2 separate regions of the Mus musculus genome follow, and region 2 is reported to be linked to region 1. Evidence: microRNA targets listed by miRTarBase, many of them from high-throughput screens and not tested one by one. Region 1 holds a microRNA gene; the other region holds the end of a gene's coding sequence.

What was found. The annotated mature microRNA mmu-miR-713 reads UGCACUGAAGGCACACAGC and lies in region 1 at 5,628-5,646, opposite strand. An mRNA with a match to its seed (bases 2 to 7 or 8) in the 3' UTR can be bound and repressed. Matches are read on the target gene's strand: a 7mer-m8 pairs with bases 2 to 8, a 7mer-A1 pairs with bases 2 to 7 and ends in A, and an 8mer does both.
Region 2: the mRNA of Tyr is a reported target of mmu-miR-713. Seed matches in the 3' UTR shown: 7mer-m8 at 3,180-3,186.

What each region holds. Positions count from the first base shown.
Region 1 is chr13:62,758,327-62,766,452 of GRCm38, reverse strand. It overlaps Mir713 (microRNA 713), which reads right to left and starts at 5,714; the gene lies at 5,607-5,714. It also overlaps Platr25.
Region 2 is chr7:87,423,059-87,431,184 of GRCm38, reverse strand. Tyr (tyrosinase) reads left to right here. Exons shown (of 5, transcript NM_011661.5): 5 at 1,901-6,414. The coding sequence ends at 2,136. Among named protein-coding and RNA genes, the nearest start is that of Tyr, 66 kb to the left of the region's middle.

The DNA.
Region 1 (8,126 bases):
CCACTAAGAATGGTTTAACACAGAAAACAAAGGGAGTGAAAACAAAACATGGTCCAGAATTGAACTGTGAATCTATCTGTGGTCGGGGATTCTGTGTTTGTAGATAGAATAAACTCTTCTCACTGTAGATTAGGATTTTTGACAAATAATTCAAATTGGTTAAAAGCTTGTTTTTCGTTTTTGGTATAGTTGATTTATTTCCCCTGAAATCATAGACTAGAATATACATTTGATACTTTATTTCACATGTTGTCATTGCTGAATGAAAGCATAACTCAAGCAACTGTGTTTTGTTCCTGTGTAGTATAGAGGTATATTTTTATGCCATTCATTTTAGAATCTATAGGAAAGACATGCAGAAAAGGTCTCATTTATGGAAATACCCCAGAAAATACCAGCTGACGCCTCATATGTAACAATTTGGACCATATGTTTTTGTGGAACTAAACATAGTTCTAGATCATAGTGAGCTGCCATGTAAATGCCATGCCTGCTTCTACAGTCAGTGCTCGTAACAACTGAAAGATCTCTCCTTCCTCACTAACCCAATTTCAATAAAGTAAAATATAATACCATACACAAGGTATTTGTGACAATAAGAGAATTTTTGAAAAGAGCTACAAGCAAGTCGTGGAATCGGCCTAAAAGTGAAGCCATGTGTGCTTCAGAGACAGAGGTGGAAGACTAGGGATGCCTAAGTATATTGTAGTCAGGCAATTTCATCATTATCTGAAGAAGCTGAACAATGAACTTCATGATTTCATATTTTCCTGCTGGATTAGGTCTTTCTTTGGTCTGTTCCATCGTTGATATGCTTTGACTCTTTGTGGAATAATATTGTTTATTCTTAGCATTGTATGTTGGAATCATAACAGTCTCATTGAAGATCATGGAAGACTGTGGTAGAGTAAGAGGCAGGATTCACTCTATGAGAGTTGACGCAAGATAATGTGTTTAAATGGGAATGTTGCCCTTTACTCCTATGTTGAATACTTCTTTTCCAGTACCTGGAAGTCTTTCAGAGGAGTAGGCAAAAATTATAGGATAATCATTGTGGGGAATTTGGGTGACAGCTACCTCTATATCTAAGGTAGGAGAGGTTTGCCACCACAAATAGCAAAAAGCTCACTCGGTAAATAAAATAATCCACCTGTAGCTTTGGATTCGAGGTAGGTACTTTATCTACTTCACAGAGAAGAGGGCTTATCTTGTTTTCATCCTAATCTGTCATTTGTGCTCCCCAAATTCTATTGCTTATTAAAGAGGGGAACTCTTAAGTAGGAGAATTAGCCCCAGGCAATGAGTTCCCTATTTGGCTAATCAATGCAAGTCAGTCAGTCCTTGAATCATACACATAACCAATAAAAATGCAGTCAGCAAGTTTTATTTATGTATTTGAGTCTTCATAGTCACACATGTATGTAACAAGGAAGAAATTGGCAGGGAAGATTTAGGATGGAGAGGGGAGAAGTAAGGGGATAAATTGTTGAAGGATATTTGAATATGGTTAATAGAAAACCTAATTTGTATTGAAATATCCAAACTTAGGAAGATACTGCCTTTTCAAATGCAGCTAAGTGTGTCTTGGAAAGGTGTATTTTGGGTGTGCCTCTGAAAGCCAAAGCCTCAATACAAGAGAATGCTAAGGAATGGAAAGAGCCTGCCCAGTTTAAGGCAAGTTACTTGGGAGGGGTCTTGAGGTCTTTGCTGAATGACTTGGGGCAAAGTCACCTTGGATGGCATTGAGATGCTCTTCTGTAAAGGTGAGAAGTTTTAGCTCCCTACAGACTTGACCCCGGTCCTCCCACCATTACCTCCCCCTGGAGCTGACCTGCTGCAGCCTGCCAAGGATGTAGTAAGGGAGATAGAGCCTGGTTTTGTAGCAATAAGACATTTGAGCTTTCTCCTGGTGGGCACTCTCTTTGTACTCTATCTCTATCTCTTGGCTTAGAATAGCATTGTGGAAGCAGAGTACTAAGAAATAGCAGGACACAGATGAGGCAGGATTTGAAGAAAGAGAGCAAAGGAGCCCTCCTGGGTTAAGGTGAGCTCAAGAGAAAGGTAGACTATCTGTGTAAACCGGCATAGACAAAGATTTCTGAGCATCTAGCAGTTTAGTTGTACATTCAAGCTTGCAAATAGGTATTTTGCATACAGTTAAGGAAATGAAGTTAGCTCACTAGGCAAGCATGTTTTTACCAAATCTCCCACCTCATTTGACATTATTGGGAATATATATTAGAAAAATGTAAAAAGGTAAAAGTTACGTGAAGTGTTGTATTATGTTCTAATTTAAATGCATAAAATTTATTTTACAAGGAAAATATAATAAACACAGATATAGTCATGAGCATTGGATGTTGTTCCAGGTAATGCAGATTTCATTCCAAAAAACCTCAAGGCTGTAATTCAATTGCTGTAACTGCAATCCAGAGGGATATGATGCCCTCTTCTGACCACTGTAGGTAATGCACACAGACAGGACCCAGCAAAAGACTCACATATATAAAATAAAAATAACGTATAAAATGTGGAATCTTCTACAGAGATGACACAGCCTTGAGACACACAGCATTCAGGATGCACTTCTTTCTGGTCCTACAGAGATGCACCTGTGCCTTTCCTCTGAACCAAGTTGCTGAGTAAAAAAGCAGCCTTATTCTGAGGTTAGACTAGCTCAGCACACCTGCTCACGTAAGAACGGTAACCACAGTGCTGTTAGGTGATGTTTCCTTGATATTTTCTGTATTTGTGTTCTCTGTCCATTGTATATGGAGAGTTGTGGCATTGATACATCTTTTAAATTTACTTTTAGATCATACATTATGGACTAAAAGATAGATTTACTCTGTAAATCTCCATCTGCCTCAGTGACTATTGTTCAAACTATAGCTGTGGCCCAAACCTAAGAGAGACTTAGGTACAACAGCATATTGGGAACTAAAAATTCTGTTCTAGGCTGGCTCTTCTTTGGGCATCAGTCAAAGATGAATGCGTGATCTTTTCCTATGAAAGGATGCTAATTCTACCTGTTACACCTCCAGCCTTTCAGAAAATTATTTCTGAGACAAGGTTTCTTCTGGTGAGTCATGTAGCTCTCATTCCACTCTGTTATGTCTCAGGGCAGTAACATTGCAATCCTGTTGTTTAACCCAACTAAATTCATTTTTGTTTTGTTTTGTTTTTTCGAGACAGGGTTTCTCTGTGTAGCTCTGGCTGTCCTGGAACTCACTCTGTAGACCAGGCTGGCCTAGAACTCAGAAATCTGCCTGCCTCTGCCTCCTGAATGCTGGGATTAAAGGTGAACGCCACCACGCCCAGTTCCAACTAAATTCTTAAGTTAACATCTGTACCACCACTGTGTTTTAAAATTATGCATTTGAGTCATGTAATCAACTGTTTACTCAGTCAAGAGGAAAAGCATTTGCATGAGGGGCATAGCGTCTGCATTCTGACCAGAATAGGAAGAAGTTTATTGTGTACACTAATGGGGGAAACAGGGTGGGTAATCAGCTGCTAGAGTTGCCATAATGAAAAGTGCCCGATGCTGGCATGGAGGTAATTTCATAATTTTGCAGCATGTCTTAATTCATGTTGGGTAAATGAAAGCAGACTAGATCGGTGGGTGTATGATTTGTGATGTCAGTTAAGCCGGTGAATACTCAAATTGCAGTTAGGTTACTACTGTCCTATGAGATATGTGCAATCCTCATTGACATAATTAAGTCAGCTCAGAAATTTAAAACACAGGACTTCATTGGCTGTAGTTGAGTGTGTCAAGTTACAGGTCTCAGCAGGCAACAATCCACATAGAGGCAAGGTCAAACAGTATTTGAAAGATGGTATTCCTTCTACCAGGAAAAGGACTATTCTTTTACAAAGTCAGAATGGCTATGTGTTTTTTCAATAATATTTATGTTTGTAAAAAGTCAATTATTGGTTTGCTTTAAATGCAGCACTGCTCTGATCTCTTACTTGTATCCATTCTGTGATGTTTCTCAGGCGTAAGAATTTCTTTCCATTTCTTTTACAAGTGCTGCTTAGGACAAGGTCTCCCGAAGCCCAGGCTGGCTCATGCCATGTAATTCAGAATTGCCTTGAACATCTAATCCTTTCTCTAAAGCCACATGATGGGAAGACAGTCCTGCATCTCTTCTAGGCTAGGCTTTGAAGGTGAACATTTTTCTGGTATGGCTGTACTTGACATTAGCATTGAGTAGTAAGGTCACCAATTTTCCATCTTGATAATCACCTTGATTGGCCATTACTCTGGTCTGCAGACCAGGCAATTAATAATCTGGATAAAGGGGCTGGGGAGAAGGCTCAGCGGGTAAGAACACTGACTGCTCTTCCCAAGGTCCTGAGTTCAAATCCCAGCAACCACATGGTGGCTCACAAATATCCATAATGAGATCTGGAGTGTCTGAAGTCAGCTACAGTGTAATTATGTATAATAATAATAAATAAATCCTTTGGGCCAGAGCAAGCAGGGACTAAGTGAGTGGGACTGACCAGAGTGAAGCAGAGGTCTGAAAAATTCAATTCTCCACAGCCACATGAATGCTCACAACCATCTGTACAGCTACAGTGTACTCATATACATAAAAAATAAATATATAAATCTAATAAGAAATAATCTGGATAAAAACTGAACTTCCTGTCAACTGTTGTTGCCACCAATGTAATTATTTCAAATAACTGTACTTACAGGAGTTCAGTTACCTAAAACCAAACAGATGGGCACTTTGAGGGGTTTTTATTATTTTCACCAATAAACATGAGAAAACCCTTCTTTAATCTGCAAGTTTAGATTGAGATGAAAAAAATTAATCAAGGCCAGAAGTTCTGCTGTGAGCCTAAATATATAAAGGATATTGAAGATGGTAGTTCTTTCTCTTTCTCTTCTTCCCACATACTGGCTTGCAAGGTCTTTTTATTTTTCTGACATTAAGGCTCCATCTGTGGAATTCTATTACGTGGTGAACACCAGCTGAGACCTATAGACACAACTGTTTTCTTCAACTCTCCATTGATACAGTCATTGATTTACTAGTGGGGCCACATTCTGTGAGCCATTCTTATCTATCCACTTCCTGCATACTTAGAGAGATCCATGCTCTGAATTCTGTTCATCTGGAAAACCTTTACTAATACAGACATGTTTTTTCACCTTCCCAAGTAGGAAGATGTGCTGGCGAACAATAATGCTCCTTAGTGAGTGGCATCCATCCCCTCCTTTTTTCCCAGGGCTGTCTGGAGTCTCATATGTAGCAATTGCATATCAGCTGCGGTTTTCCTGATGTCAGTGTAAAATGAGAGAAGCAAACATCACATTTTGTGTCCTAAAATCTCTCTTTAATTGTAAATATCCTTGGAACCTATAGTTCACTCTTTGTCAAGTTGAATAATGTACTCTGCAAGGTGTGGCTCTTAATTCCTTGTTGGAGGAGGGGGCAGAGCGAGGAGTAGGAGAACCGGGGGCGGCCTTGGAGGAGCAAGAAGAAGAAATTCCTGCTGAGTTCTGGATGACAGAAAGATAGACTATTGGAGGACAGGACTGAAAGAAAGTCTTGCAGATCTGAAAAGGGTCAGCTCCTGGATAAGAAACCCGATCTTGGAAGCCCTATGCTGTGTGCCTTCAGTGCACTCTAACCCTAAGGGAGGTGCTCATGTCAATCAAGTCTCACTAACCAATCAGGGCCTCCGGATAGGCCCGCCAATAGAAGTAGAGGCGTGTTCTTTAGTGTGCCTTGTTCCCCTGCTCTGCGTTCCGCTCCGTTGCGAGCAGGCTGAAAAATTGGTGTGATGTGTTTTGATGTCTGCTGACAGGGGCCTTAGGGAATTGCCAGCGATCTACAACGTGGCGACATGGTGAGCGTGTGACCACTGCCCTTAACCGGAAGGAGCAGGGAGTTAAGCAGCTGGAGTCCGGGTGATGGGATACAGGGGACCAGCCCTGACTGTTCTTGGTTCCTCTTCAGGCAGCGGAGGGGGAAAGAGTGTTTGAGGTGACAAGACTTGGTTTTCAGGGATGTTTAGGGTTGCTGTTTAGTATTAAGACATTTGCCTATCTTAAGTCTCAGTCGCGTTGCAGCCGAAGCTGACCTGCCCGAGTTCCTCTGAGGCAAGGCTGGACGCTGCAATCTCTGGTATTTAGAGCCTCCTCTTAAAAAGACAGGGGATTAAGTGAGTAGCTTTTGTTCTATCTCCACAGAAACTGGGCTGCTCTAACTTCCATCCTGCTAGTTGAAGTCACAGGAAGAAAGGCGGGACACTTTTAAACATGTCTTTAATCTTTATTTCCAAGTTCTTCTAAAAAGTTTCCTATGAAAGTTCTCTAAGGAAAGGGAGTGGGTGATTAAGTAAAGGAGTCATTGCTAGAGCCTTTCCCTCTTGTCCAGATGCCTCTTGCTTGCTAAGCTTGGGGGAAGTTTGGAGCAATAAACTTCTCTTAAACCAGGAGAAGAGAGTCACCCTCACAGAAGCACATTTGGATAAAATCACATAAATTCATATACAAATTCATACCCTTTTAGGAGGTTAGTTTGGTCCAATGTATGTTGAATTTCCAAGTAGAGGGGACTCCTTTGCAGATATGTCCAATCCACTTGCACAGTTACTTCAGCTCAGAGTGTTGAGAAGCTGTGTGTTAGGTTGCATCTCTCAGCAGCTGACATTGCACGTGGGGTGAGATCAAACTATATCTTCTTTTTGGGGGTTTTTAAATTTTTATCTTTTTGGGGTTTTTTTTTTTGAGACAGGGTTCCTCTGTATAGCCCTGACTATCCTGGAACTAAATATGTAGACCAGGTTGTCCTCGAACTCAGAAACCCGCCTGCCTCTTCCTCCCAAGTGCTGGGATTAAAGGCTTGCACCACCACTTGGCTTAACTTTATCTTCTTATGTCATTATCTCTGCCAGGGAATGGCCTGCAATTTTTCAAGATCACTCTCCTTTACCAATAACCAGACCAACGCCCAATGGCTTATCAACCCTCTCTTCTATAGAAGATTCTGATGCTAGGAATATTTGCTCAAAGGCACATACATCCTGTTTTCTATTATACTTTTAATATGTATGATATATTGTAGTGTGATTAGTGAGTCAAAGTAGCTGGGTGTCTGTATCAGACCCTGTCTCAAACACAGGAAATAATCAAAATTGTATTTGTGATAGGCTTGCAGACTCCAGTTTTTCTGTCTTTTACAAATTAATATTAAGGTTAAAATTAGATTCCTTGTTAAAAGTCACCTTCTTTGTTTGTTTGTTTGTTTGTCTTTGTGACTTGTTCTTTATTTATAGTTTTGTGATTTCCACATTAGAAATGGATTCCAACATTCCTGATATGTTCTGTTAACTGTGTGATAGTGAACTAAGTTACTAACTGAAAAAGATTCCACTTTTGTAAGCATATGCTATGTACATAGGCCTTGAGCTTGACTATAAAAGCACTCCCCTGCTTTTTAATAAATCGATTTCTCTTTATTCAAATTACGGCGTGCTCACTGCCTTCCTCCCAGTCACCCCCTCCCCATAATTCTTCCTCCATCCCCCCCCCCCCCTGAGTCGATGGGCCACATTGTATTACCTAGATTTGGTAATACAATGTATTTGGTAGGACTCATGTAGTATTTTGGTTTCATAGTAAGTTCAAATTTTTATTCAGATTCTTGATTGCCTGGTGTGTGGACCCAAAAAATGGGCCAGTCAGACTCTTGTCAATGGTCTAAAATTGATTGCCTCACTGTTCATTCTTTTTTTTTTTTTTAAGATTTATTTATTATTATACATAAGTACACTGTAGCTGACTTCAGACACACCAGAAGAGGGCATCAGATCTCATTACTGGTGGTTGTGAGCCACCATGTGGTTGCTGGGATTTGAACTCAGGACCTTCAGAAGAACAGTCCGTGCTCTTACCTGCTAAGCCATCTCGCCATCCCTCGCTGTTCATTCTTTTTTTTTTTTTTTAAAGACTTATTTATTTATTTATTTATTATATGTAAGTACACTGTAGCTGTCCTCAGACACTCCAGAAGAGGGAGTCAGATCTCATTACGGATGGTTGTGAGCCACCATGTGGTTGCTGGGATTTGAACTGCTGACCTTCGGAAGAACAGTCGGGT
Region 2 (8,126 bases), not on the chromosome of region 1:
CAAGTCTATCTCAGGTGTCTTCATGTATAAATGAGTTTACTTCTCTTACAAACCTATTTTATTTGTACCATTTCAATATGGGACTGTCACTTAAAGACACATTTTGAATTTTTTGTTATTTTTCTACACTGAATCTGTCTGATATAGTGATTTCTTATATTTTTTCTCTGAGAGCCAATGCTCCATATTTTTATTTTAATATATATAAAATACATCATGACCAATACCTGATTTTAAAAATAAACTCTAAGTTTTACCTCAAAACATAGTAGATACTGGCTAATTTATAATTTGTTTTCCATTGCTATCTATTGAATATCTCTCCCAATTGGCCTAATGTTTCTTCATTACCTTTTTGGAGTGTAATAATACATTCAGTCATGGAGTAAACATTTACTTTTCTCATGGGATTCAGGCACTCTACCAAATTTCAGGATTACTTCATTGTATCCACCAGCATTCCACCCATACCCCAGTTCCCAAAAAATGACTTGGAGGCTTATTATTATATTAATAAATGCCTGGACCTTAAACTAAGCTTCTCTGACTAGCCTGTAACTCAGTTATCCTGTTTATACTATTCTATGTTTGCCACATGGCTGGTTACCTCATTCAACTTCCTATCCTGCATTGCCTAGTTCCCAGAGTTCATCTCTCTCTGCCGGGTGTCCCACTTTGTAATCATTCCTCAGCTTATTGGCCATTAGATATTTATTGTCAAGTGATGCTTCCACACAGTACCGAAGATATTATCTCTACACACCACAGTTTGGGTTTTCAAGGAGTCAGTATAATATAGAACATAAACATATAATTAGTAACTCTAATACAATGTGTTGGTGTAATAGTAGAAGAAATGTTATACTTACAGCATTTAGATGTTTAGGGTTTCTTGGACTAAATAGAAAAAGTGGAAAAATGCTTATAAGAAACACATGAAACTAAAGGTGAAATTTGACTCTAGGAACAATTTTAGGAAAAGTACAGGGGAATATCAAAAGTACATTCTTTTCAAAATATGTATGTTAGACTATCTGTACTAGAAGATTCGGAGGTAGAAATTTATTTATGGGTGGCAGAACTCATAATTGTTCAACCCAGTTGTAATTTCTTATGTGGTTTGAAGTAATTATAGATGGTCAAAGGCTACACGTTTTCCTTACTTGAAATTATTTTTAAAATATTCTTGGCTAAAATCTATTGTCTTAAGACTGAAAATTTTAGTACTGGAGACATATCTCAACAGTTAAGAGTTTGCTTTTCTTACAGAGGAAAGAAGTTCAAATCTCAGTACCAACATGGGCAGCTTGTAACTACTTGTAGCTTTAGCTCCGGGGGTACATTCACCCTCTTTTTTACCTTGGTGCATTCTGCATGTACATGCACATGTCAATGTACACACACACACACACACACACACACACACACACACACACACGCACAGATCTCTGCAAGAACAGAGAGTGTACAAATGTCGTAGTGTTCTTGAGAATGCTCTGAGACTACAAAGTTTCTTCTAGCAGTATAGTCAGTGTTACTCAAATAATTTAAATTATCAACAGATCATCAACAGTTAATAATATAACTATGTTTCATAGATCAGCAGTATAATTACATAATCATCAAAAGGAATTGTAACAATAGTACCTAACAATATTGCACATCAAGGGTTATATTCAAGTTTCAAAAGATCCCAAAAGCAGAGAATTATTTTCTTTTCTTCCTAGGGAGGAAAGGGTGCTTGAGAAGGAAGAGGTTAATTTTCCCCCAAGATTTTCTTTTTATTAAGCAAAACAGCTGGCATTACAACCCAAGCCTCTTACTCCTAAGTAGCATGCTAAAATGCTGCTGATGGTGCTGGTGATATCTGTGAAAACAGCTTGATCTCTTTCTATTTCAGATCCAGGCTTTTACAGAAATTATATTGAGCCTTACTTGGAACAAGCCAGTCGTATCTGGCCATGGCTTCTTGGGGCAGCACTGGTGGGAGCTGTTATTGCTGCAGCTCTCTCTGGGCTTAGCAGTAGGCTATGCCTTCAGAAGAAGAAGAAGAAGAAGCAACCCCAGGAGGAAAGGCAGCCACTCCTCATGGACAAAGACGACTACCACAGCTTGCTGTATCAGAGCCATCTGTGAACATCCTAGGAAACAGAGTGGGACTGAAAGGTTTTACCTCACTCGACCTATTTGTTGGTGTTTCTACAAATTTAAACTAGTATAAAACATAGACCATAGCTGTTTGGCTTTTTTTCAGACCCATGTTTTTTCCTAAGTCCTAGTTTCTAAGAAATGACTGGGATTTGCTAAAATATATATATATATATAAATAATAACTTACTAATAGCTAAATAAAATTTCCTCTTACAACTAATTGAGCTGGTTTTTATGAATGTGTCTTAATTATTTAAACTTGAGGCACATTTTTGTTTTCCTTACTTCATTGTGAATTTCCAAGAAAAATATTCTCTCTCTCTCTCTCTCTCGTGTGTTTGTGTGTATGTGTGTGTTAACTGATTCAAACAATTTTGAAAATCTTGGATTGATAGAAATGATTCATTAATTTATGAAATTATTTCATTAATGATTAGGAAAGACGAATAATTACTAAATTAGTAACAGAGGAGAACATCTGCCAGCTTTTATTAATTGTCATTTAAGTTACCTTATCTACCTTCTGTGACTGGTGGAAAAATATCAGGCAAGAGATGGGAATGCTCTGCCTAATAGGATAGTGGCTCCTGGAAGGAGTGGGTTATTACTAGAGATTATTACCTGAAGTTTACCATAGCCAGAAAATTAATCAAAACAGATGACTCAGTAACATCTGAAGCTTCAAGTCGGCTTGACTGCAATCTGAAATCATCAAGCCCAAGAGCCAAAGGAATGGGAACAGCGATGGGAAACTATCTGAATCAGATTCTAGTGTGATAGTGTCAGGGGCACATGGGTCATCTTTGAGACCTTCACACCTGTTGAGTCACCAAAATTTGCTGTGAATGTAAATTTTTACTGTAAATTAATTTTTTCTTTTCTTTTTAAAAAGATTTATTTATTATTATACATAAGTACACTGTAGCTGTCTTCAGACACACCAGAAGAGGGTGTCAGATCTCATTACAGATGGTTGTGAGCCACCATGTGGTTGCTGGGATTTGAACTCAGGACCTCTGGAAGAACAGTCAGTGCTCTTACCCGCTGAGCCATCTCGCCAGCCCAGTAAATTTTTACTTTAGTGAAAGTAAAATTTAAGTTTTAGTTTTTAGTTTAGTAAAATTTTAGGAAGCAAATTTTTAGTTTTCTAAACTAATTTTTTTTTCTAGTACTGGACATCAACCCAGTGCCTTGTATATGCAATGCAAGCATTTTCTTGTACTCTGCTACCTAGCATGTATATATAAATCTACCCAACAAATGTTCATTACAGCTGACAAGGGTCTTTATAAACTCAGTGTTTCCCTTTATCACAATACAATTCCCTCCTTTGCCACTTCATGTCATCATAGAATATTGTTTTTTTCTCTAGCGGTTCAAGGTATGTATTTGTATAGCAGTCACACCTTTGATAAAAGTTACCATCTCTTTGATTATATATTCTCATTATGGTAACAAAATTATATTATGACTATTTCAATATATCTGAAAGTTTCATTAAATTCTCATTAACTTTGTATATTTCAGTCTTGCTTATTGTGAAGCTTTTATAAATTGCTTCACTTTTTTCTGAAATTGTCCTGTTGCTACATCATTCTGTTAAGAAATAAATAAGTGGCAATATTTTCCCCCTTTCTTCTTCCTCTAGGCTTTTAAAATTAATTTTAGTATTCATATATTTTTATCAAATCAAACATGCAATTCTCTATCTGTAGAGATTAACCTGTGATCGATACAAGTCATTTTAACTAGTGTCCTTATGAGGCTGACAGCAAGCATAAATCATTGATGTTCAGCATTTATATAAGCTTTCATTTATGAGTAGAGTTTGTCAGTTTATACAATAGAATATAAATTATAAACAAGCTATTAATACCACAAAAGCCTTAACATTATTTAGCTGTTGCAAACTACATATGAACAACTTTAGTAATTTTCATGTTCTATTTAAGTTTTATATGCTTCAAATTTATTATTTGGGGCCTCTTATTGTTTTTTTATATGGCAGCATTCTAGGATGGAGTGTGAAGAGATTTCTTAGCCTCAATCCCCATCTGATGCCCTATGGGCAGTGATGGCTTCTGTTTGAGGGACACTCAGTTTTCTATTCGAGTCCTGGTAGAGTTATCATGTTCTGGTAGAAGGATTCAAGCCCAGTAGTATAGGTACACCATGCCTTATAATGACTGAGCTATTACATTTAAAAAAGAATAAAAGCATGAAGCTGAGGAGGCAGTGAGGTGGGGGTGGATCTGCGGAGAGTCACATGGAGAAGTGGAGGGCAGATTTACATTATATCAAATTTTCAAAAAATAATAAAATATTTATAAAATGTAATTGAACGAACAATATGTGGGTTGGAATCAAAACTCATGTAGAACTTTCTTCAGTCACTAGATCTGATTGATTGTGAATTGATTATTAGCCATTTAAACTAGTAGACTCGAGACTTACCTTAATTATTTAGTTGCCAAATTTGGGATCACAATTGAATATGTCTCCTCAAAAAATATCTTAAAAATTCATAGTAATCACTTTCACTTTCCTTTTGCCTATTTTAAAATATATGCATTCTCTTTAATTAAACAGCTCTGCATCCTGTTTGTCCCATAGGTAAATAAAATGTTGAGTGTGAATATTTAGTGAAATATAGTTCTTAATAAATTTGCTTTACTAAAATTATTTTTACTTTCTTAGTCTTTTTTTTTTTTAGAAAATTAAAAGTAAATGTATAGAAGTAAAAAGTTTGTTTTCTAAATCAGTGTTCTATATGTTGCATAAACTGGTTCCTACTGCTGGATTTTGTTGGCTTTCCAGTCTCAGAGCAGTGTCTGGATTACAGGTAGATATTGCTGTACTAGGATGAAAGTAGACTGTTTTAATGAGAGATACTTTCAATTTCACAGGAAAGGTGATTTCTATTATGTTAGGCCAATAATCCTAACTTTAATGGCATTTCATAATGGGTGCTGAGTTAACTGTCTGATGCTGAAATTATACTAAAAATAATGTGGTGATCATGGAACCTCAAAATAAAACAAAATAAACTAAAAATTTATCACCTTTTAAAAATCTAGTATTATCTTTTCATTAACTAGAAAACAAATGTTGAAATGTTTAAAAAGAAATATTTAGCAATATACACAATAATTGATTAATTTCAGTTTAATTTTTAAAATATTTTATTCTTTCTTAATGACAACTACTGTATGATCTGGCTCATAAGTAGTAGCGGTAGCAGCTTTTGCAGAGCATATACCCCCTAAAATCTGTGTCAATATACTATTTGAGTTCCCTGAACATCTGTTTATTACAGTGCTACTCACAACAACTAGGTTGTGGAGACACCCCAGATGTCTATCCACAGACAAATGGATAGAGAAACCATGGCATGTATACATGGTGGAGGTTTGTTCAGCCATAAAGAAGAATTAAATTATGTCATTTGCAAGAAAACTAATGTATTTATAATTCATGATGATGAATGCAATAGGTCACACTAAAAATCACGTTTTTCTATATTATATATACATATAAGTGTATACATGCACATTTTCAGGAGGAACTATTTGTTTTTTTTTTAACGCATTCTAGAATGTAGCAGGAAAGACAATATTGTGGGTAGTTTGGGGTTGCATCAGTATAAGCAAAGAAAAAGTTATACAAGTATGAAAATTTTATAATGAGTACATTATAAAATTTGTAATGTGTACAATAAATATATACCAATATGCTGTATAATAAATATATACCAATGATTAAAGAAAAAATCCAAGTAGTTATGTATTTTACTTATAAAGACAAAATGAAATCAGCATTAACTTATTTCACAGATATTTCCTAGAATTTGGGGGTATAAAGATGATTAAGACACATAAACCATATGCTACATTGAAAAATGCAAGTGGGGTAATAGGAAAGTAGATAACTACTTATAAAATTATGATGGAAATAATCATTCTAGAGTAATATTCTAAAACACAATTTAAAAAGTAAGGTCATAAAATAGAAAAATAATTACCCATCTCAATTCTAAGACATAATTTTTTAGATTAGATTAATCTCTTCTTTAACAATTATAATAGAACCTTTTCATCATTTATATACTGGATGCATGTCTAAGCACTACTCTATATAATTTCTGCTTGTCATATGAACACTGAGTATGGTTATATTACTTTATTTTAATGATGAAGAAGCTTGAATAACAAAGATATTTTAAGAAGTCAAAAACCCTATTAAATTGTATGTATCACAATTTTTAATTTATGCCTCCATGACTTTAATTCTTATTTCTAATGCAAAGCCATATTGTTTCCATGACTTTTACACATATCTTTGATTACTTTACTATAATTATCACCATTACTAATAACACTGGGAATTTGTTTTATATGACAAAAATCTGTCATGTTTGCACATATATCATCATTCCTTGGATAGTGGAAGTTATTGAGCTGAGGTTATGCTCAGTGGATAAGAACACTTGCTGTGCAAGCAAAAAGGCCCTAATTCAGACTCCAACATCTATATAAAAAATATGGCCATGGTAATGCGCTCACCTATAACCTCAGTTCTGTGCAGGAAGTGTGACAGAGACAAAAATAAAATCACTCGATTTTCTGTCTACCTGCCTAGCTCCAGCTTCAGTGAGAAGCTCTGTCTCCAGTGAATAGGTAGAAATTGGTAAAGAAGGACACTGGGGATTCTTCCTTTATATATATATATATATGTATGTATATATATATGTATGTGTATATATACATATATATATATGTATATATATACATGTACACGTACACATACAGAGACAGACAGAAATAAAGACAGCAGAAATAGAGACAGAGATGGAGAAAATCAAAGTGCAGATGCAAATAGTTTAATTGTACAAATTTTTGAAGTTCAAATTAGTGGAAACAGATCTTTACACTAGCTAGTATGATTTTAAATTCACAGTTTGTCTCAGCATGTAAAAATAACTACATTGTACAGTAAGTCCTGGAATTCTATAGTTCCATAGGGACACAAAGTCAAGAAAAATAATACAGATAGAAAGAGATAATTAAAAATAGAAAGACATCATCCTGCTTCATCTTGACAGTAGTATGAAAGTTCCTAGATAAGCACCCACAGTGAAATAATACCTATTATGTCAACTGTTCTAAAAGTGTTCTTGGTGGGATGATTCTTATGTGTAGCAGTGAATAATCTACCTTGATCTCCCTTCTGGGAGTGGGGTCAGAACGTGTGATCACACTTCTTGTCACCTGCCAGAATTTTCTGGATTTGCGAATGAAAGACAGAGAGACAGAGAGAGACAGAGAGACAGACAGGCAGGCAGACAGACAGACAGACACACACACAATTAGAACACACACACACCATACACCACAACACACACACACACACATACACAGACTCGGGTCAGCTTAATTTTAATATGCCTTGACTAGTTCAGTGGCCAGGCATTTGCAAACCTCCCTTCAGCTAGCATACACTTCCATCCGTACTCTTCAGTGAACACTTTCTAAATCTATATTTTATCTTTGTTACCCTAGACCGAAGATGGTGAGTGGCCTCTGGGGTCATTTCCCTGTCTTAATGATGAACTCTCTGCTTCCCTGTCATCATGGGGTATGGGGTGGTCAGTACTAAGCCCCCTCATAGTGGAATTCCTTTGTCTTCTCCTTGCTCAGAAATCCCAAAAGTCCTGCCTCTTTCACTCTGACCAGCTATTGGGTTTGGCTCTTTATTGACTGTGGGGAGCGGGTGTGGCGGCAGTCCCAAAGGCGCCAGGGACTGCAGCTAAGTCATATGACTTGCACCTGACTTCCTCATATAAGACACAAACATCTCGAGTGCTGCGCAGGTGTACCAGGATACAGGTGAATCCAATTTGGTGGAGATTTGCCCCTGCTGCCCTGATTAGCTGAAGCCTCGTGACTGGCGAGGGGGCGTGGCCTGCGGTGCATGGA